Bombyx mori: one gene and its partner. The protein of the gene in region 2 purifies or fractionates together with the protein of the main gene of each other region. This does not show direct contact. Links are inferred from orthologs where the notes say so. Each region holds a gene or a part of one and is shown on either strand. Other genes may lie near its edges.

The links.
Region 1: the proteins of anillin (region 2) and septin-7 purify together in Drosophila melanogaster (affinity purification with western blotting; 3 studies listed by BioGRID, with this or other methods). This does not show direct contact. The link is inferred for Bombyx mori from reciprocal best matches to the Drosophila melanogaster genes scra and pnut.

The regions. Positions count from the first base shown.
Region 1 is NC_085111.1:8,880,954-8,892,585, reverse strand, and holds the end of septin-7, read left to right. Parts: intron 1-236; coding exon 237-566; intron 567-842; coding exon 843-1,002; intron 1,003-1,238; coding exon 1,239-1,449; intron 1,450-1,894; coding exon 1,895-2,150; intron 2,151-2,903; coding exon 2,904-3,099; intron 3,100-3,658; coding exon 3,659-3,827; intron 3,828-5,831; coding exon 5,832-5,910; intron 5,911-6,836; coding exon 6,837-7,057; intron 7,058-7,550; coding exon 7,551-7,591; coding exon of another isoform or gene 7,592-7,602; exon of another isoform or gene 7,603-9,232; coding exon 9,233-9,273; 3' UTR 9,274-10,737; downstream 10,738-11,632. UniProt on the Drosophila melanogaster protein: Involved in cytokinesis and possibly cellularization. Also acts as an enhancer of the sina gene, thus having a role in photoreceptor development. May be involved in p53-dependent apoptosis.
Region 2 is NC_085126.1:7,290,067-7,301,698, forward strand, and holds part of anillin, read right to left. Parts: intron 10,231-11,632; coding exon 10,111-10,230; intron 9,388-10,110; coding exon 9,200-9,387; intron 8,197-9,199; coding exon 8,068-8,196; intron 6,982-8,067; coding exon 6,898-6,981; intron 1-6,897. UniProt on the Drosophila melanogaster protein: Required for cytokinesis. Essential for the structural integrity of the cleavage furrow and for completion of cleavage furrow ingression and proper formation of the midbody.

The DNA of each region.
Region 1 (11,632 bases), on a different chromosome or scaffold from region 2:
GGTTTCAATGTCTCTCGTAAAATAGTAAAGATAGAACAATCATGTTTCGCGTAGGATAATGTTAAAAGTGAAAACGCTCCACTGGTCTTGTTTAAATTTATCAGAAACCGGTTTTTAAATTAACTTATTAGTCATGAAACAACTTTGTCGCGTTTATATCTAGCTCGATTCGTTTTACTTTTATCAATAAGTCGCTCTTTCATTTTAGTTTAAAAAAACTTTTGTTCATTTTTCAGTTACAGAGTAAACGAGAGCTGTTTTTCAAGTCGGACACTGTAAGCGGTGGCGGCGTAAGCGCGTCTGTCCCGCCTTCTGCAGCACCGCCCGCGCCTCCTTCCACGCTCAAAGATGCGCTCAGTAAGCGCTCTGCGACGCTACCAGAGCCTCAGGAGACTAACCACGTAGAAGCCAATGGGATCGCCACGAAACACAGCAATAGCGTGTCGGTAGATGTCTCCAAGCCTCCGAGTACAGCGCCCCCACCAACACCTGCCCCGCCAGTACCAATATCTGCACCTCCCGCACCAGTACCGACACCCCTCAGGAGTACAGAGAATATTATGAAGGTAGGTTCGTAATTTTATCATAGAATGTACAAGAACGGATAAAACAATGACTGTATTTATTCTTATTATCAATACATTGTATAATGAATGTTACACTGTGCGACTTTCATCATATTACAAGAAGTTACTGTTGAGTCATTGTAATATTTAGTACCCGCGTATTATCTCTATAATGAAATCGAACATACGTTCGTATTCATCTAATGACGGATTTAGATATTCTGATCAATTCAATGATTTTGTAATAATTTAAACATTGAGTGTATTTCATTCCAGAAAGCCGAACACCCACCGGTCGCGCCGAAACCAGACTTACCTAAAATAGAAAAACCAAAAACCAAAGAACTAGATGGCTACGTCGGTTTTGCTAATCTGCCGAACCAAGTGTACAGGAAAGCTGTGAAGAAGGGCTTCGAATTCACGTTGATGGTCGTAGGTAAGATATAGCTGCGTTGTTAATGCGCAATACGAGAGCGATAACAACTGTAGTTCGAGCTCGGTAAATAAGGGCCGTCTTGTGTTTGTTATGAGTTACTGACATTATTTCTATTACATTTTATCTTATTGACGTCAATACCCCCGACGACTTTCATAAGACTATTTCTGTATTTATGCATCTTTTTGAATTAGCGAAACAAATTCCTAATGAGACGTTTTTAATTCGAATTCAAGGTGAATCAGGCTTGGGCAAGTCGACACTAATAAACTCGCTCTTCTTGACGGAGGTGTATGACAAGGACAAACATCCGGGGCCGTCGCTGCGAGTGAAGAAGACGGTTGGCGTTGAAACCAGCGTCGTTCTTCTAAAAGAGAATGGTGTTAACCTCACGCTGACCATCGTCGACACGCCGGGATTCGGCGACGCCGTCGATAACAGTAATTGGTGTGTAGATGATACTTAAAGAATTAAAGAAAGAACTCCCTTAATGAGTTCGGGAATTAAGTAATTTGTTTAAAAATAGTTTCTGTCGTTATATATTTCGTCTTCTTTTGTGTGTACTATTTTAGGCATGCTTTAAATACATAAAGGCTCTTTCGTATTGTATCGTACTTTGTAATTTTAGTTGGGTACCACCACCCGTCTATTTCTGCCGCGAAGCAGTAATGCGTTTCGGCCTGAAGGGTGGGTGGGGCAGCCGTTGTAACTACATATAGAGACCTTAGAACTCATATCTCAAGGTGGGTGGCGGCATTTACATTGTAGATGTCTATGGGCTCTAGTAACCACATAACACCAGGTGGGCTGTGAGCTCGTCCACAAATCCAAGCTATAAAAAAAACGTAATATCAAAAGAACTGTATACCCCAACTCTCTCCTCACGTTACAGTTGGCAACCGATCATCGACTTCGTTGAATCGAAGTACGAAGAGTTTTTGAACGCCGAATCACGTGTCGCCCGCAAGGCGGCGCCACCGGACACGCGCGTGCACTGCTGCCTGTACTTCATAGCGCCGAGCGGGCACGGACTCAAACCCCTGGACGTCGAGTTCATGCAGCGACTCGGAGATAAGGTCAACATCATTCCGGTCATCGCTAAGGCCGATACAATGACGCCCGAAGAGTGCAAGGACTTCAAAGAACAGGTTCGTGATCAGTTTTGTGTAAAGTGTAAAGCAATAAGTTTGAAGTCGTCGTGGCCTAAAAGATAAGACGTCCGGTGCATTCGTATGTAGCGATGCACTGGTATTCGAATCCCGCAGGCTGGTACCAATTTTTCCAATGAAATACGTATGTACTTAACAAATGTTCACGATTGACTTCCACGGCGAAGGAATAACATCGTGTAATCAAAATCACAAAATTATAATTTGCGTAATTACTGGTGATAGGACCTCTTGTGAGTCCACACACGGGTAGGGACCACCACCCTGCCTATTTCTGCCGTGAAGCGTAATGTATTTCGGTTTGAAGAGTGGGGCAGCCGTTGTAATTATACTGAGACCTTAGAACTCATATCTCAAGGTGGGTTTTGCGGGCGGCATTTGCGTTGTAGATTTCTATGGGCTCCGGTAACAATTCAACACCAGGAGGGCTGTGGGCTCGTCCACCCATCTATGTAAGAAAAATAAAATACAACCGAACAATAGAGCCGCGGTTGCCTAATCAGTAAGACTAAAAGACTAATCTCATTAGAAAATACCACCTCATTTTTCAAGAGGGTGGTGCCGACGTATACTGAGGAGTTCGGGCCCAATTACGTATTAATCTTGCTCATGGACACTTGCTTCATGAAACATGCAGAGTGATGTTTATACCACGCACTGAACTGTCAGACTAGAAATTACACACGATTGTGTCGATATAGATATAACACAGAGTAATAATGATAATTCCAGATAATGAAAGAAATCGGTCAGCACAAGATTAAAATTTACGACTTCCCGGAGAGCACGGGCGAGGAAGGGGACGGCGCTGACGTCACCAAGTCGCTGCGGGCGCGGGTACCCTTCGCCGTCGTCGGCGCCAACACCGTCATAGAGCAGGACGGGCGCCGCATACGGGGCAGGAAGTACCCTTGGGGCATCGCCGAGGGTGTGTACTCTTCAAACAGCCTACTCACATTAGATTCAACATATTAACTCCCCTCCACGGTGTTTTCCGAGCGCTATGACATGTTCTTCTTCAAACGAGGCTTGCGGAGAGTACTTAATGGTAGGCAGCGGCTTGGCTCTGCCCCTGGCATAGCTGACGCCCATGAGCGACGATGACGACTGACCATCAGGTGGGCCCTATGCTCGTCTGCCTACAAAGGCAATAAAAAAATTCAAAAAGAAAACCTGTGACGATTTTAAAATTAATAATTATTATGACAAATGTATCGCTACTTGTGAGTCCGCACGGGTACGTACCACCACCCCGCCTATTTCTACCATGAAGCAGTAATGCGTTTCGGTTTGAAGGGTGGGGCAGCCGTTATAACTATAATGAGACCTTAGAACTCATATCTCAAGGTGGATGGCGGCATTTATTTTATAGATGTCTATGGGCGCGAGTAATTACTTAATACCAGGTCGGCTATAAAAACTGTGGTGCTGCTGATAAACAATAATTCTAAATACTTCACAAAATAATAACTTACTTGTGATTTTAGTTGAAAATTTGGAGCACTGCGATTTTCTGGCGCTTCGGAACATGGTGATACGGACGCACCTTCAGGACCTGAAGGACGTGACCAGCTCTGTGCATTACGAGAACTATCGATGTCGCAAACTGGCCGGACTCTCGCACGACGGGAAGCCGCACAGAACCAACTCTAATAAGTACGTTAACTCATATATCATACCATTTCGAACTAATACTTCTTCAGTGAATAATTACGCATTTTACTTTTAAAAAAAATACGAAGTACTTTCTTCGAATTAGCAGAATTCAATCGGAACAGGCATGTTTAGTTTTAACAACCTAATAAGACAGGGTTGGTGAACTAATTAAACTAATGTTATTCATTTTTATTTGTACTGTTGTCACCATGTTCAAGGTCACCAGACTATAAATATGATTTTTTTGAAAATAGATTTGAATCTAAATTAATAATCATATTAACATTGACACCGTGTGTTCCATTACTTTTATCATTGCTGCATGTCTGGTAACCTTTACTGATTTGTATCTTTCCTCTTTACTGTCGCAGTTGTGAGCTGAATATATTTTGTTTTGTATGTTTATGTTCAGTATTATATAATAGCTGCGTACGATATATCTATTCAAACGAACGTTCTGTGCTTGGGCATGCAGAAATGAAATAATAGTTTTTAACATTTATCATTCGTATTCGTCATGGACCATTTAATATTGGTCTTTAGATTTGTACGGAAACTTTTTAGTAAGATAACGTTTTTGAAACCCACACTGAGATGGTCCATGACGAATCCAGTACATGTTACAAGTTGCAGTTCATTCGCTTTCACAGTGGCATTAATAACAATTCATTCACGATTGTGTGTTTAGAAGTGATTTGTCAACTATTTAACGAGCGTGTGTCATTTGTTCGGTTATGCACACTATGATGTCACTTATTCATATCTCCATTTGTATTTATCCAAAGAGAACAAAAACACATCGAAAAAAGAAGTGTCTCGTGCCAGCGAAGTGGTTCACGTTTCGTTGTTCTATTGTTTGCTTTAACACAAAAGATGTTGTTGTCATTGATATTGTTAATGAACATATAAAGAAAGGAGAAAATAATATATAATGAACAAATAAAGAACACTGACAAATTATCAATGAAAAACGATCATTTGATACTAATATCAAATAAAATAAAAAAAAACATTTTGGATAGAGATTAGGATCTTGTAAATATTTGAGCTGAGTGACATTTTATTAAGTCGATGACGTCACATAATAGTAACCTTATTTTCGTAATGGCAGCCAAATCGAGTGTTGCCAGCCAAAAAAAAAGTTTATCTGTTTATGTAAACGAGAATGAGTTGGTAATGCCACTGTATGATTGCGCGAGCACAGCCTCCTGTGTCGTTAACTATTGGTTGTGTTGGTGTTCAGTTTGTGCCCGCAAGGACTGATGAACAGTTTCATGACCGTGTGGTAAGTTCCCCACGAAATACATTTTGAATCTACGTACGTAGAGCACGGTTTTAGTCTGGGTCACGTGGCCGAATGAGGTCTCACAATGTGGAGGGACTACATGTTGTTAGACTTGGGTGTGGCTTGTTATTAGTTTTGCATCATTTCGGTTATAGCGGCTGTGGGTGTTGTGTACTAACTCGTGATTGTGTGGTTGAGGGTTTCGTGATTTACTAACTTTTGAGTTTTAAATGATGTTCGAAAAAGAACGCTGGCGTTCAAGATTAAAACCTTTTTTTTTTAATGTTTTTTTTTTATCGTTGCTGTCATTGTCCTAGGTCTTCTTTACACAGCTTTCAATGGTAATTGCTTGTAGTTTTTTCAACTAAATGTAAGGAACGATATATGCATGACAATTTTATTTTGATACCCCTATACCCAAATGTGTTTATTATTTAAATACAGAAGGACAAAGCGTCTAAACAAATTAAGTAAAACGTTTTATTTGTGATTTTACATTTTAAATCCAAAAGTTATTTCCCCTTTTAAAGATGAGCTTGATTTGTTATTATCTTAAGATCTGAATGTAAAGTTATTAGTAATTATTGGAAATGTTATAGATATGACACTAAGATTGTTTTGCATGATAAATTTTGTACGTAATAAAATTAATGATGACATTAAGAAACAAAAATTTGCACCTACAACGGTTTTGTGTAAATGCTTTTGTTTACTTCCAGGAATCCATTAGCACAGATGGAAGAGGAAAAACGCGAACACGACCTAAAGATGGAAAAAATGGAGAGTGAAATGGAACAAGTGAGTATTAATTTTCAAGATTTGTTTTCTTGGGTTTGTAGATCAATATAAACATCAATGTTATTTTTGGATTAGTCAAGTAAAAATTTAAGTAAATTTTGATTTTGATTAATGAAAATGTATAATTGGAACCCTTTTCATCGAAATTCATTTGGATCTAGACCAATTCGCACAACAATCGAAGACCGTCTACGTTGTTATCGTGTGTGATAGGCGTTCGCTCAAAGTCAAGTCAGGAGAGCATTCAATCTTGCAATTGCCACCACTGAATTGAAGTCGTCGTGCCCTAATGGATAAGACGTCCAGTGCATTCGTGTTGAGCGATGCACCGGTGTTCGAATCTCCGGCGGGTACCAATTTTTCTAATGAAATACGTACTCGACAAATGTTCACGATTGATTTCCACGGTAAGGAATAACATCGTGTAATAAATATGAAACCCGCAAAAATTATAATTTGCGTAATTACTGGTGGTAGGTAAGACCTCTTGCGAGTCCGCTCGGGTAGGTACCACCACCGCCTTGCCTATTTCTGCCGTGAAGCAGTAATGCGTTTCGGTTTGTAGGGTGGGGTAGCCGTTGTTACTATACTTGAGACCTTAGAACTTATATCTCAAGGTGGGTGGCGCATTTACGTTGTGGGTGTCTATGGGCTATTTCAGAAAGAAATTATAAAGGACTTGGCTTCGGCCTTCATGAAATTTTTATTTCAGGATATCATATAAATCATATAAGACCTGGCTTTTTTGAAAATTTATTTCAGAAATTATATAGAACAGACAAGGCTGTATAGGCTTAGATTCCCTTGCCTTTTCTAATAAGGAAAAATTGTACAAAAAAAAATGTTTATGGGCTCCAGTAACCACTTAAAACGAGATGGGCTGTGAGCTCGTCTAAAAAAAAAACGTGATCATCGCTCGTTTTCAGATATTCCAAACGAAAGTCCGCGACAAGCGCGCGAAGCTGAAGGAGTCCGAGGCGGAGCTGGCGCGGCGGCACGAGGCCACGCGGCGCGCGCTGGAGGCGCAGGCGCGCGAGCTGGACGAGCGGCAGCGCGCACTCAACGCCGAGCGCGCCGCCTGGGAGCGCGACACCGGCCTCTCGCTCGACGACCTGCGCAGGCGCTCGCTCGAGGCCAACAGCAAAGAGTACATATACCACCACTACACTACAACTATTTAGTTCATTTTAACGTTCCCGAATCTGAAACGAGCTTTTAGTATTTTACTATCACTATCATTATCAAACAAACGTAAAATGGAAAGCATGGAAAGTCGAATGGAAAGCAGTCGACGTCGCCCAAAACACGTCATTTCGAATCCTCCCGATCCACTAACGGTGCTTTTAGGTACCTTAAGCACCGGTCATCTTGGGGCTCGACGAGGAAATTAACCCACAGACACAGCCCACTGAGTTTCTCCCCTGATCTGCTCAATGGGTCGTGATTGCGATCCGCTGATAGATTCTGCCAAGCACGGCTCTTGCTAGGGTTCGTGTTAGCAACAACGTCAGGTTTGAGCCCTGCGAGCTCATCTACTAGTTCGGCGAATCTAGAATAACCCCTCTAGGTTACTAGAATAGATAGGAAAAAAATAGATTTCGACGGAAAACTACAATAATAAAATTTTGTTGTATTTTCAGAACCGTTGACGGCAAAGAAAAGAAGGACAAGAAAAAGAAAGGTTTGTTCTAAAATGTTTGTTTGTCTGAAACGTCGGCCTCGCACCCACCGCGACAAGCGCGTACTAACCTCGTGTTTCGTCACCGCGTCTCTCTTGGATATGTGTTGTCTAATGCAATAAACTATCGAATATAATCGGGAAGCGAATCACGCTACTTGTATAACGGGGATCGTCTCGTAAGCGACGCGACCTGCATTCATAACAAGTGTCCACATCGATTTGATGTCGTATTTAGAGATGTTCTAAATTAAACTGTTATGCGGAGCACGTCGTGGAGAGACATAATCAGAATAAAATTTCGTACGTTGCTGTATATAGGGTTGCCAAATGTATAACACTGAAACATTAAAAACGATTGTCGTGCTAAATTTAGAATACTCAACTATTGATACTCTATTTAGATTCACTTGTCACTTTTAGGGTTAAACGAAGAATTGTTTCGCAAAAGCGAAAAGTACAAGGATGTTACGTTTTAAATCTGTGAATTAATTTATTACATTAAAAAAAACAACGCTGGCAACCCTAACACTACACGTACACGCTTGAACGATGTGTTAATAAACTTGAAAATTCCTGTCTTCGTTTACGGTTTTTGGTGTTTGTGTGTATGTGTTACGAAAATTGCTTAGGTTATAAAAAGCGTATGAAAAAAAAATATATGCCCCGAATTTAAAATCTCCCCTGTCTATTTAATTTGATGTCTGTAAAAATAAATAAATCGGGTGGGTCGTTTATTTGTAAATTGTACCTGACTATGGAAAAGCAATGGTATGTGAATATAAATCTGATTTAAAAATAATTAAAACTAAGGTTTTTCTATGAATACTAGCTCACGCTTAATTTGAATGCCGGCTAATTAATATGTCGTATTTTATGTCATAAAAGAACGAAACGAGGGAAAGTTTGATCTACATCATTGTAGTTGAGACTTCCTGAAGCAAATGTATTATCTTTGACTTTTATTCGAATTAAAAAGTACATGATGATTTCAAAATTTGCAACGAATAACATATCTACAAATTTTTGTCTCTTTTTTTTTTCTTAGTTTCACAAGCCTTTTGTCGTTACTTATGATGTGTGCATGATTAAACTAAGAGCACCACGGATTTCTTAATTTTCATTCTCCTTAACCGCATAGCAAAATGAATGTGAGAATTACACACACAAGATACGAAAATTTCTTTAAAAAAATCATCTATTTGCTAACTACCAAGGTTTCTTTGTTGTTTGCAGTTTACTTTAAGAAATCCGATATGAGTATGAGTACTGAATGCAACAATAATTACACTCGTATGATCAAATCACTTTTTTTCCATATAAAACTTAACATGGAATGAATTAATTTCACTTTATATTTTATGGGGGTTTTTTTTATTTGTCCCTAACTCTGGTCTTATTGTCATTATCTATGTTCCGTGTTACTTATGAAATGCTATGTATTGTTCAAAAACAGTAACTAAAATTAAAACATTTTCTGTCTGAATAATGTTCAGGTCTCGATTTCTTTTTCTTAGTTCATGTTTCTGAAAACCATTGAAATATTGGTATTAATGAATTTTAAAGCAATAAATGAGAATTATTAATGAATTAGAAAATTTAAATCTAAGATTAAGTACTGAGATTGTTCAATGTGATTTGCAGATTGGTCTTTTAAGAGTGTCGCAACTGGAATATCTATATAAGGTCTTCTTCATACACGTCGAATTGTATTTTAGACATAACGAATTACAACGATTAAACCAAGACTACCAGAGGCAATAAATAAATGTAGAACATCAGAACTATTATTTGAATATTTCAATTTATGTACGAATTCAAATTATTCCATGACAAGGCATTTATTTTTTAATGTAAGTGTGTGGGGCCTAATTTTGTATGATGATTTCTTTTTCGAAAAGTTTTTACAACGTTTTTGTCAATAGCAGGGTTAGCCCAAACGTTTAAATCACATGTTTACGTCCAGAAAGATGCCAAATAGCTTTTAATAATAGATCTGTTTCGAAGCCGGCATGCGTGACGGTTCGACCCAACGATGTGTGATCTGTTTAGCTCAAAACCAATCAAAAACGAAAATGAAAATAATTTAAATATTATATATAGTAAGTAACTATTACATTCGTGACAAAAGAAAATCGCTCTTGATTAACATAGGAGGCAATTAGTGGTCTACAATCGATTTGTATTAGAAAACATTCTAAAGTTTTTAACGATAAGTGATAATTTTAATTCTAATATTTCGGCTTGATCCGTGCAATTTGGAATACGCGTATGTATCGAAATCGCACAGCGTTCGTTTTAGAATATACTCGAGTATATTGTGCTTAGTGATACTAATGTTATGCTCATAGCTCAGTTTTTGATATAGGAACTAGCTAGCCGATAGCGCTCGGTATAAGGACGCGATCTCTCAACACGTGACATGAACCATTAATTATTTCGTTAATCTGTCGAGAGATTATGTAAGGCTGGTCATCCACTACGCTCGTACGCCGATAGCTCCGCGATAGGCCACGGTTTGGCTATGGCGTGACACTGTTGATTTAATAGGCGAACGTTTACCGATAGGCCGTATCCTCATCTGCCTAATAAGTCGCCGAAGAAAAATCTAAAATTACTGGCGAGTACAACTAAAAATGTACGGTTGCTTCATAGTTTGTACTGCTTTTTATTTTCGCACAGAATACGAATACAGTTGTGCGGTGCGCTATAGGTTCGCGAACGTAGTGGACGCCTAGCTTAACAAGATGACGAATCAATTCCTGTTTTAACTTTAAAAAGACTAAATGTATTTTATTCTATATTATTATTTACTTGTGACGATCATTCGTGTAAATATTTTTTTTATCGTTACACCTTATTATCTCTCATTCGACTATTGCACCTACTATATGATTGATAAATGTATAATCCTTTTTTTTAATCAGCATGATTTTGTATTTAAACTACACTACAGTATTGACTTCCACGTTATTTATTAAGATGTTTTTAGGTTTAAGAACATGCTTAGTTTTGTATCGTTTTAGGCGAATATTCTACCGTGATTTATTAATTTGCTTAGTCATTACGAACCGGAATGTTGGGAGAGCGAAGTTCGGACGGTGTAATATATTGTACCTTTGAATAAATAAATACGTAATATATAGGAAGATTTGTTTTATTTTTGGAGAAAAATATTAAAATTGGTTAACGATTCTTTTTATCTAATAACTTAACATAAATAATAAATTAATTCAAGAAACATTTGTTTGTGGAAACGATTTGTACGTAATTGAAACACAAACTACACGATGTTCGAAAATCTGTCTCGAGTCAAATGATCGCGTCTGCGGCAGGAAGGAGTTCCCAACACCACACGACTGCACTCGTAAAGCAGTGAATAAATGATAAATGCTACGATGGTTGTCGAGTCTTGTAGGTACTTCCAGAGTCCCCACATGACTGCTTTGCAGTAATATCTAAGATTTAGGTACTTACCCGGGGGGCGTACCACCTATAAAAAATCGTTCGCGTATCTATGTAGTATAAAACTTCAAAATGATCGGATATTGTTAAACATGTCGACGGGCTATTTGGTTTATGCGACATTTCACTTGATACGCGATATTTCACTTGATACGCGATATTTATCATTGTGATCAAAGATGTGTTTTGTTTGGTATTAGCTTCAATAGTTCGATGTTTTTAATTGAACTTCAATTGAGTTTACTTTATTCAAATAGCTGAAGAAGTTTTTTTATTACGATATTTTTCCAAATTTTTCACTATAAGTGGCTCTCCTGTAAAGTTGCAAAAATGTCGCCTAAAGCAATATCCTTTCAGCCCTCGATTTTTTATATGAAGGATTTTAGACCAATTGTAGGGTAAACGTAATAAAACAGTTGAATTTTATTATGGTTTGCTTTATTTGGTGACGTATTAGGAAAATCCCAAGCAAGTGTGCACCCATTCTTACGATGTCCGCCGTGGCTTCATTTTGTGACTTTTCATTTTGTGAATTTTGATTCAGTATTTTCATTTCATCATAGACAATGTTCTAGTTTT
Region 2 (11,632 bases):
AACCAAGCTGCTGCCTACCAATTCCTTGTATCATGCAAATAGTTTAAAGTTAACATTTGAACTGGATGTCTCAACATGGACGATGACATCAACAGGGTGATGTCTGCAGGATTGTGGTACATATCCGTGCAGGCCATTATGGCGACTATTAATAACTTATAAATTATACGGGTTTCATTATAATTATGTAGATGATTTTGTTCTACAATCGTAGGAGCCATTTGCGCGTGACATGTTTTATAGATACCTACATTTAAATTGAAAAAAAATAGTGGCGACACGCAAGATTTAAACCGTAACACAGTCACACCGAAAACACGATCTCGTTCTTTCTGCAGGTTAAACAGGTATTACCTAGTCAGGTCATAAGTATTGTCACACAGTTAAAACTTTTCTTTTAGAATGCTGGCCACAAAAAAGTTTATTGAATTCGAATTTCATCGAATTTTCAGCGTGCTCAAAGCCTCATCCCAATTTGGAGTCACTCAAGACATCCTTGATTAAGGCAGCCGCCGATATTGACATGGACCTCGTTCGTGCTGCGATAGACGACTGGCCGCGCAGATTGAAGGCCTGTATTCAAAATCACGGAGGTCATTTTGAATAAACTTTAGTGTCATAAGAATCTATGTTTTGTTAAGTTCATTTTGGTATATGAATGGTTACATAATGAATAAACTTGTTTCAATTATTTTATATTAAACATGTGACAAAATTTATGACCTGACTAGGTACAATATAAAATTATAATTGGTGCAGAATCCTAGCCACGGCATAATATCGCATTACTATACACCAGTAAACCTCAAACTGCGGTCTCTTGTATATTACGCGACTATTCAAATGATATCTTGATGCTCTTCAGACACATCGTGCGTGTGCGTCATGCGGACGCGGCAGATCATGATGTGTGATTGTCGTTTAGTATGCCATGGGGGTAACGCGTTGAAACTGTTTATAAAATACGCGACTTAAATCCTTGACTAAAACTTAAAAAAAAAAAAAAACAGCGAAACTGTAGAGCCACATTAGTTCTATATATTTTTAAGTCACTAGTCATAATTGAATATGCAATTTCGAAAAGGGCACATGTCGCATATTTTGTCAAATACGTTTTTTTCATATACATGTAGTCTTGAGGCTTACCTACACCCATTTTATAATAATTCCAGTAATTTTTAATTGTTAATTAACACTAAAATATATCTCAAAAGTTAATATTTTAAATTTTACACTGCTTTAGAAAATAATCAGTTTTTTTCATTTCCTGAACATTTTACATTTTCAGAGATGTGCCCTTTTCGAAATTGCATATTCAATTACATATATTGGTTCGACGAGCCCGTGCTTCTCTGTGTGTGGAACAGTCTGGAACACCCACGTTTACCGCTAGGGGTGCTGTTCCAGCTCCAATACAAATTTAAGTTAACTTTTACGCGGTCGAGAAGTTAAAAAACTCGACTGATGTGGAATGGTTGCTGTAACCACATAGATTACAACGTGAATACCTCACACCCGCCTTGAGGCATGAGGTCTAGGTCTTAATCGTATAGAACAACGGCTGCCCCACTCTTCAAACTGAAAAGATACTGTTTCCCTACAGAAATAGGCAGGATGGTGGTAACTAAGGGACGTTGTTCATCGTGGAAGTCCTTAATGAGCACGTGTTCTGTCACACAGTTATTTCCTTGGAAAATATATGACTGCCTGCGTGATTTGTACCGCAACATAGACGCGTGCGATGATCGATACGAGTTCATGACGATCTATGTATTTTTAATGCACTGAATGAGGGCGAAAGGCTATTTGGTTTAAGCGACATTTAGCTTAATACGCGAAAGGACAATGTCCAATTTCTTAGGGCGTTTGGGCCCCTAAAAAAAGTTATCGGGTCATGATGGTTTTAACTTAATTTGATAGACAAAGAAATATCGTTTCATATTCAGAAAACGATTTTTATATTCTCACACAGGTTTAAGAGAAATCTGTTTTTTTCTGCAGCTAAAATTAAGTTGTTAATTGTTTTCTTCGAAATCAATAATCGCTCTCATCATTATTTACAGTATTAAATAACTTAATTGTGGTTAATTTTGCTAGAAATAAGCCTTTACGTACATTTTATTATTATTATATCCTCATAATAATAATAAAATAATTATTATTATATCCTCATAATAATAATAAAATAAAATGCAAATCCGGAAGCCGGCAACGATAGGCCCTTTGCCTATTGGCGAATTTAAAAACTATGGCACTCAGTTTTGGGATGTTATCAAATAAGTAATTTATTTTTTTGTAAAACAATGCCAGGTTGAAAGTAATGTTGATACATAAACTGAACAACGTGAAAAAATAAGGCATAGTTTTTCAAGTACAAATAGTTTTGACATAAAGTTGGCCCACTTTTGGGCATTGTCCTTTATGTTTGTAATTAAAAGTGCGTTTTATTTGGTATTAGTATCAACAAACTACGTTTTTAATTGAGCTGCAATTAAGGTTACACCATTCAAACAGCTAGAGAAGTTATGATATTTATTCTCCTACCTACGCCGAAAGTTCGGTTTTCCTCCCGCTGTACAGGGAAGAAAGTCTAACTTTTCTCCCCGGGTACTGACAAGTGCGCATGCGCGTTAGTGTCTACGTCTGCTCTCACACACCTAAAATTCTCCGCCATTGTTGTGCTCGGGTTATTTGCAATATTGTGTTTAGTGTAAAATTAAAATAAACAAAAGGCAATAAAATTTAATAGTGAAGTATTAAACAAAGATGAGTTCATCAGACAGTTCTTATTCAATTAGTAGTAGTTTATTTAAAAATTAAAAAAACAGTTAAATTGTGTTTTTATGCCCCTGCCAGGGCTTCGCCCCTGGACCCCGGCTCAATACTCCACGAACTTTCGGCCTGGTAGGAGAAAAAACAGTATGTGCACCGCGGGAAAAAAGTAGGACATCTCATCCCGCGCAATTTTACACGCGGGAGGAAATGTCCTACTTTTCTCCCTTGGTGCACAATGTACTATTTCTTCAAATTTAAACTATACATGGCTCTCCTGTAAAGTTAAACCAATTAACCTATTACCCTTCGAATTATAATGACTTATAGATGATACTACCTCTCGTGTGAACGGAGCCACCACGCGCGTTACGACATATCAAAACGTATAATAAAAAAGAAAAAACTTCAGAGGTGTCAAGGGACACCCGGATGGAACGAAGTTCCTTTCGATTAATTAGTGAAGGAATTGTAATTTTTTTTTTAAGTTATAATAATAAATTACGGCATTATGAAGAAGAAAAAAACAATACTATGAACTAAATTACTATTGTTGAAACGCTATCTCGAGAAACTGTACTCATTACGCGGACCAATCGGATACGAGCAATGTCACGCGATAAGCGCCTACACGTTGATTGGTCAGAATGACGGATCTAAAAAGTGTCGTGACAACTTTTCGTAAGAATTTTTTCCGTCTAGCCCCCTTTCACAACGCGCGATAAGGAACTTCGTTCAAAAAAAAATTGAAAGTAAAATATTAACACTACTCTTCGTATGTCTATAGTCCACGATACGAAATACAGTCAAAGGCCAAGCGCCATCTACGTACACGCGCGAATCGTTGTCATAATATATTACCTACACCATAATAGGTTACGTTTTTACGATCTATTTACTATCAGACGACGTTAATTCTATTAGACCTTGACATAAAATCTAATCTGACATTGTAGAATTTAAATTCAAATTCATATTCTGTTCTACCGCCATTTTAATACTCTTCCCTGATACAGTTTTAACCTTTTTAAGAGTTATTTAAAAAAAGGTTGTCTATGCTAAAAAAAAATATGCTTAGATGGGTGGACGAGCTCACAGCCCATCTGGTGTTAAGTGGTTACTGGAGCCCATAGACATCTACAACGCAAATGCGCCATCCACCTTGAGATATAAGTTCTAAGGTCTCAGTATAGTTACAACGGCTGCTCCGCCTTTCAAACCGAAACGCATTACGGCAGAAATAGGCAGGGCGGTGGTACCTACCCGTGCGGACTCACAAGAGATCCTACCACCAGTAATTACGCAAATTACAATTTTGCGGGTTTGATTTTTATTACACGATGTTATTCATTCACCGTGGAAGTCAATCGTGAACATTTGTTAAGTACGTATTTCATCAGAAAAATTGGTACCCGCCTGCGGGACTCGAACACCGGTTGCAACGCTAGATACGAATGCACCGGACGTCTTATCCTTTAGGCTACGACGTATTACATCATTTACGTGTGCTGTGAAACGATTTTGATGATCTATTTTTAATCAAAGCAGATCCTTCTTATTTAATCCCATTTATCAAGATCTTATTATGTTGAAACCGATTTTCTCTTCTGTTAAAATTGTGTATTATGTTTTATTGCTAACGATGGCAGACGAGTATCAGGCCCACCCAACGGATACTGGTCACCATCGTCAATGGTCATTGCTAATGCTAGGGGAAAAACCAAGTTTCAACAAATGATAAGTCAACAAACCCGTAGAGTGCTGATAAAGAGATTTCATATGTCAGTTTTATGGAGGAGACGATACAACCCTGCACGTTCTATCTCGGAGCTAAAATGACTATCTTAGCGTAGCTTACTATCTTAGATAGCCTTTTTGTAGTCAGTTTATGGCTAAAGCGCAGAGCAGCCATTTTACTAATGTACTTAATGACTTGAAATCTGTCTCAAAACGGCATATACGTGAGACGTCAAGTCTTTAGTAACAGCTTAATGCCGGGCGGTTGAGCTCGTTAACATATCTCAATAATTCGTCTAATACCAAATAGCATAGTGGTAACAATCTATATATTAATACGTGAAGCAAAAACTTTGTATCCCTTTTTACGAAAATCGCGCGGACGGAGGAGTATGAAATTTCCCACACTTATAGAGAATATAGAGAAGGAGTGCAGAATGCATTTTTTTTTACTATGCATTAGTAATACACGAAATCAATAAAAAAATATTACACACACTACCATGTATTTGATACACACACATAAATACACTCTTTGTTTATTGTCAAACTTTTGTTATTGCTTAAAGTCTGCGGTCAAATTGAGAATAGGTTAATATTGTTTGTCTTTATTATTATTTGTCTAGTGTAGTCTTGGCGAAATCTGTGATTATAGAAATATTATAGTTTTTAACGACAATAATGTTGAAACTTAGGTATATTATCAATTAATTTTAGTCGAATATCGACTACTGCGGCACAACTAGTTCTAATATATTATAACAACAACATTTTTGAGTAGGATTTTTTTATTAAATACATATCGTATCAAGAATTAACTTATCTGCGACGCAAACGATCATTCAAACAAACGTTTAATCTTTGTATATTATAGTGCAACTTCGTCATTATCACATCCCTTTAAAACAAAAAAAACTTAAGAGCCGACATTAGTTGTATTGTTTTTTTTTAACAAAACAAATCTTAGGTACGCTCTCCGATCTTTTATCTTAAAACTACAAAACAAAGATCCCACACCATCCAATCGTGGAAAGCTAAAGGTTCTGTTAATAGCTAATGGGAAAAAGTTGTTAGTTACGACTTAAGATACCTTCAAATTTATAAAATAATAATATGTAGGTAGTTTAAAAAAAAAAAACACTCCCTTAAAAAGCAAACTGTAATTACTTAACGATCAATTTCATTTCTTTCTTTTTAAGGATGCTGGAGCGAACTTATAATATCGACGCTTGAAAGGCAAACGTGACTAAGCGACAATAACTGCTTTGTACATAAATGATAGGCAATAACCATATTCGATGTGGAAAAAATATATATATTTCTAGGTCTATTAAAATCATTTCAATCCTACAGCTACTAGCTAGATTCTACTACAGCTGGATTCGATAAAATAAATTTTGTTTTCAGGTATTTCAACTTTAAAATAGTCTACTGTAAAGTTCACGCATTGTCACTTAGTCACGTTTGCCTTTCAAGCGTCGATATTAATATTTATCGTAATTAATGCGTGTTAAAATTTTCAAATCATCGGATTAACTTGAAAATTCTGAGTCTTCGAGTCAATGGTAATGACGTCCAAAGATTCAGTTACATACAAACAAACATATTTTATGTAAATACCAAGCTATCTATTATAAATATATCAAAATCAACACATAAATACAAATATAAAATAAATTTTTACTTACCGTTTGTTTTGATTGAACTTTGTGTTCATTTAAGTTTTTTTTTATTTTTTTTATTAAAATTTAAATCACAAATTTCTCATTACTTCTGTACGTAATACTTAAATTGTTAAGCTGAAATACACTGATTGAATAATTAAAATTTAATAACTTCAGAACTGTGAGGTCGGATGTAGGTACTATCAGCAGAATAGTATGAATGAATATATGAATATACTAGAATAGGCTCCGAAACTACTGAACCGATTTGAAAAATCCTTTCACTGTTTGGAAGCTACACTATTCCCGAGTGACATAGGCCAGTATAGTAATCTTTTTTGAAAAAAATTAGGGATCCTTACTAAAACTCCAATAATGTAATCCAACGTGTAAAAAAATTACCTAAAATATTCTTTACATCGCGTGCCCTGCGAAAACTATTGATGATAGAATAAAATAATGTACCACGACTTTGTAGAACACATTATTATTTACAAGAAGTGTCGCGACAGCATATGTCTGACTATTATAGTTATGCCGCAATAAGTGTTCTTTTATTTAAAAAAATAAAACAACGTCAAATATCGTTGAAATTTTTGTTAAAGACCCGAACGGAGCCGGAGCGGGCCGCTAGTGATATTAATAAAACTAATCTCTGTACAAACATCAGACCTCACATCTGTGATCGTTCAAAGAGTACGTAACTTAAATCCTAAGTACTCACCAGTTCCGCGACGATTTGCTTTTTCAATCTTTGACATTCGTTCACCTGCTTCGTCGATGTCTTGTTGCTAGTGTAGTGTGATGTCTGAAAGCATGAGTCATCTATACTAATCTATACTAATATATAAATCTACTGTGGTTCTTACGGATGTTCCGTTATAACTGCTGAACCGTGCATCCGATTGACTTGAAACTTGGTATCCATGTAGAAAATTGCATGTACTTAATAGATAGGCTAATATTTATATGCGGGACTCCCTACACCAGTTGTAGAGGCGCTAATGATGAGAATCTTTATGGGAGTGAGAAATAATAATGTTAATTTTAAAAGCCTATCGAAGCGGACGGGTACAGCTATTATTTAACTAAAAATAAACCTTATTGCAACGTAACTAAGATGCACATTTCTACGTGTTTCGTTTTTTATATTATAGTTTGTATTCGTGATGCGTCTTATTGCTTTTGGGGATGGGGAAGGATTCAGAAGATATTTTATGTTAAAACAATGAGTCAAGTAGATCAGTAAGTGAAAGTGACAATTCTTCTGACGATGAATGTGTTTGAATAATAATATACGTGTAGAGGGAAAAAAGGCTATTTGGTTTAAGCCATATATTTTTTTCCTACCTATGCTGATAGCCTTGAGAGGCTGTTTCATCTTCGCCCTAACATGTAGGTGAGCTCACGGGGCTCAAACCGGAGTGTTGCAGTGCTTCGCAGAATCTACTACCGGATCGGAAACGCGACCCACTGAGAAGATCCGACGAGAAACTCAGTGGGCTGTGTCTGAGGGTTCATTTACTCGTCGAGCCCTTCGTCGCAAGCGACGGGTTCGACGAGGACGATGACCGGTGCTTGAGGTACCTAAAAGCACTGTTAATGGATCGGGAGGATCCGTAATGACGTGCTTTGGGCGACATCGACTGTTTACCATTCGGTCTACAGGATCGGGTATGTAGTTTCCAGCGGCCACGACAAGAGGGTTCTCGTGTCGTGCTGCCATATCCAAAAATATTTATATCAGTAAACAACAAGACGTTGCAAGAAACATTCAATTTCAAAATTCCAAACATGGCAATATAACATTATGTTTCTAATATTGAGACCTACATAGCCCACATGGAGATGGGCAGTTTAATTAATATTTTTTCAACACTACAAACATACAAACCTTTTTATTCTGAGTAACTTTCAAAGCCTTGTCAATATCCTTTATGGAATGTATGGAGACATCCAGAGTGGAATCTTCAAGTTTTTTGCTTTTGAAATTGTTTGCAGTTTTCTTATTAGGCTCTGGTTGCTGAAGAAGAAAAGAAGATACTATTAAATTTTCTTTACAGTACAAGTAAAATGTCAATCTACTTATCATTAAGGACAAATTAGTATTACTAGTTGTCCCGCAGTAGTCGAAATTCGACTATAATTAATTGAAATTGTAAGTTTGTACACTATTATGATTCTAATCACAAATTTCGCCATGACTACACTATATAAAAATATTATAAGACAAACAATATGAAATCTATTCTCAATTTGACCACAGACGTCAAGACTTTTGTAAAACTTTTGTAGTTTGACAATAAATAAATAGTATGCAGGCGTGTGTGCGTCAAATACATGGTAGTGTGTGTAGTGTTATTTTTATTGATTTAATGTATTTTTAGGCATAATTAAAAAAAATATTAACATTCTGCACTCCTTCTCTATATATTCTCTCTAAGTGTGCCAAGTGTGGCAAATTTCATACTTCTCCGTCAGCGCAATTTTCGTAAAAAGGGATACAAAGTTTCATTCATGTATAGATTACTGGTAAGGCGATTAGACCCACACGAGTCGGTACCACCATTCCACCTAATTCTGCCATAAAGCAGTCGTGCTATCCAGTTTGGAGAGGCAGTTGTGTAAGAATTGTACCTTTTACCTCATGATTGAAGGAGGATGAACACAATCACGTTGTGTTGCCTATATGTGCAGGGTTTTTTTATTTTTTTTATTGCTTAGATTCGTGGACGAGTTCACAGCCCACCTGGTATTAAGTGGTTACTAGAGCTCACAGACATCTACAACGTAAATGCGCCACCCACCTTGACATATAAGTTCTAAGATCTCAGTATAGTTAAAACGGCTGCCCTACCCTTCAGACCGAAACGCATTACTGCTTCACGGCAGAAATAGGCAGGGCGGTGGCACCTACCCGCGCGGACAAGAGGTCCTACCACCAGTAAGTATACTTAGAACAGTAGGATATAACTAGTCAGCTCAAATAAATCTTGTATCCTAAATTAAAAGTCGTGAACACTTACAAAACTATGATGGGTCAAATCATCCTCCCAAGTGTTAATCTGATCAGCGAGGGCTGCGAGTCTACCAAATTTCTTCTTCCCATCTTGTGGTTTTGTCTGTTTACTTTTCACTTCGAACTCCGAAGGCGGCGTCGCTGATGTGAACTCCGACTCCGTACGGTGAATAGGCGAAGAGAGCTCTGGTTTATCTGGAAGACAATAATTATAGAGAATTTATAATACAGAGATTATATAGTGATAGGTGTAACAATGTAATGTAGACAGTAAAAGACTTCAGGGAAGAATTCCTAGATATTGCTCTGACCAGGTGGTCAAGGAAATCAAAATGTCAATGCCTAAAGTTCTCCATTAGGACGAAAGAGTTACTCGCCGGATCTTCTCAGGTGGTCGCGTTTCCGATCCGGTGGTAGATTCTGCGAAGCACTGCTCTTGGTAGGGCTAGTTTGACAAATTCGTCAGGTTAGAGCCCCGTGAGCTCACCTACTCGGTCAACGAAGCTGACATGACCCTCAGAGGTTTTTTATTTATTGCTTAGATGGGTGGACGAACGCACAGCCCACCTGGTGTTAAGTAGTAACTGGAGCCCATAGAAAACTACAACGCAAATGCGCCACCCACCTTGAGATATAAGTTCTAAGGTCTCAGTATAGTTACAACGGCTGCCCCGCCCTTCAAACCGACACGCATTACTGCTTCACGGCAGAAATAGGCGGTGTGGTGGTACCTACCCGTGCGGACTTACAAGAGGTCCTACCACCAGTAGGCAGAGAAAAAGGACGGAAATCGTAGCATGTGGAGGAGTTCATTGCAGTTTGAAGCTAGGATTCTCATTAGTGAGGGAACGACTTGAGGAAGAAGATAGAAATACCTTAGTGTAATATGAAAACAATACAAATAATACACTAACATACCTGAATATAGATTACCAAGTCTGTCGAGTCGTGACTTCATGTTGTGTCTGAGTCCGCTCTTATCGTCTTTGCTGTTTGACATTACAATAGACTTTTTGACCAATTCCTTGGATGTGTCTTCTGAAAACAATACATAAATGTTTAGTATGAGGTTAAGAAATTCATGAAAAAATTAAATCCGTGCCATTTTTGAAATAGACAAGATCATTGTGCTTTTGATTATAAAGCTGTGGACAGCACGGGACCGAAATCCATACTTCTGTTATAATTATTTATCATATTGTCTCATTGGAATCAAAAATTTTAATTTATACAATATAAATAAATTATTAGAATAGAAAAGATTACCATTACTTCGACCAATGTGTATTATATTTAAATTTATATTTATTTTAAGTTAGTGTTTTCTTAATTTTAGCAGTTAGTTACTTGTTTCTCAAATTTTAACCTTTTTGTAAAAAAAATATTTTTACTGTCAGAAGGCAGGCAAGTCATGGGTCACTTGATGAGTAGTTATTATCACTCATAAGCAACTTAGATAATATATTATTATGAATATAAGGGTTTTTTTTTCAACTTACAATAAACGCACCTTGGATTAACCACGTTGGTTACCATATTGTCTCTAACTACAATAACTTATTTGTCAATTACCAACAAGCAGCCCACTGTCTCAAATGGTCACCAATGGTTTTTAATAAAACCACAATTATGACAAAAAATTCAAAAAATAAAATTAAAATGCCATATAGTACCAGAAATAGCAAAATTTCTATTTAATACATTCTTAATATTACCTACATACCTTGTTAACCCAAATAAACATTCAACACCACAAAAAAACATAACAAACTCGAATTACATCAAACAAAAACACTACACAATAACATAGTGACAAATTGATGAAAACAAAACACCAAGTACAATGATTTTCAAACTATATTAACTATTTCATGGAAATTATTAGCTAATGTGTTTACTCAATAATTTTGAAGTTCAAGAGTGGCTAATGTGTTTACACAAAGGATTGCTTTGTGGTAATGGCTAATACAACAAATACAAGAGTCAATGACATGCACTTAGTCACTATGGACTTTGGCTACCTTACAAGGTATTGCATTTTTTTAAATATGTATTTGTTAAAAGACCACAAGCCTATCTGACGTTTACTGAGTTTCTCGCCGGATCTTCTCAGTGAGTCACGATTCCGATCCGGCAGTAGATTCTGCGAAGCGCTACTTTTGGTAGAACTAGTGTTAACAAATTCTCTCAGGTTGAGCCTGTGAGGTCACCTACCGATTCATGCGTAGCTGGTATAGCCCCTTAGACTACCAGCAAATAGGCAGGGGCAATAAATGCTTATGTGAAAATTGAGACCCACCTTCAAACATTATGCGATGGTAAAAAACATAGAACAATGTTATAAGCTATATATATTTAAACATTTTTTTGGGTATGTATTTGTAATTTAATATAAATTTCATTGCACCTACCACTATTTACCCTGCACTATCTTTGGTTG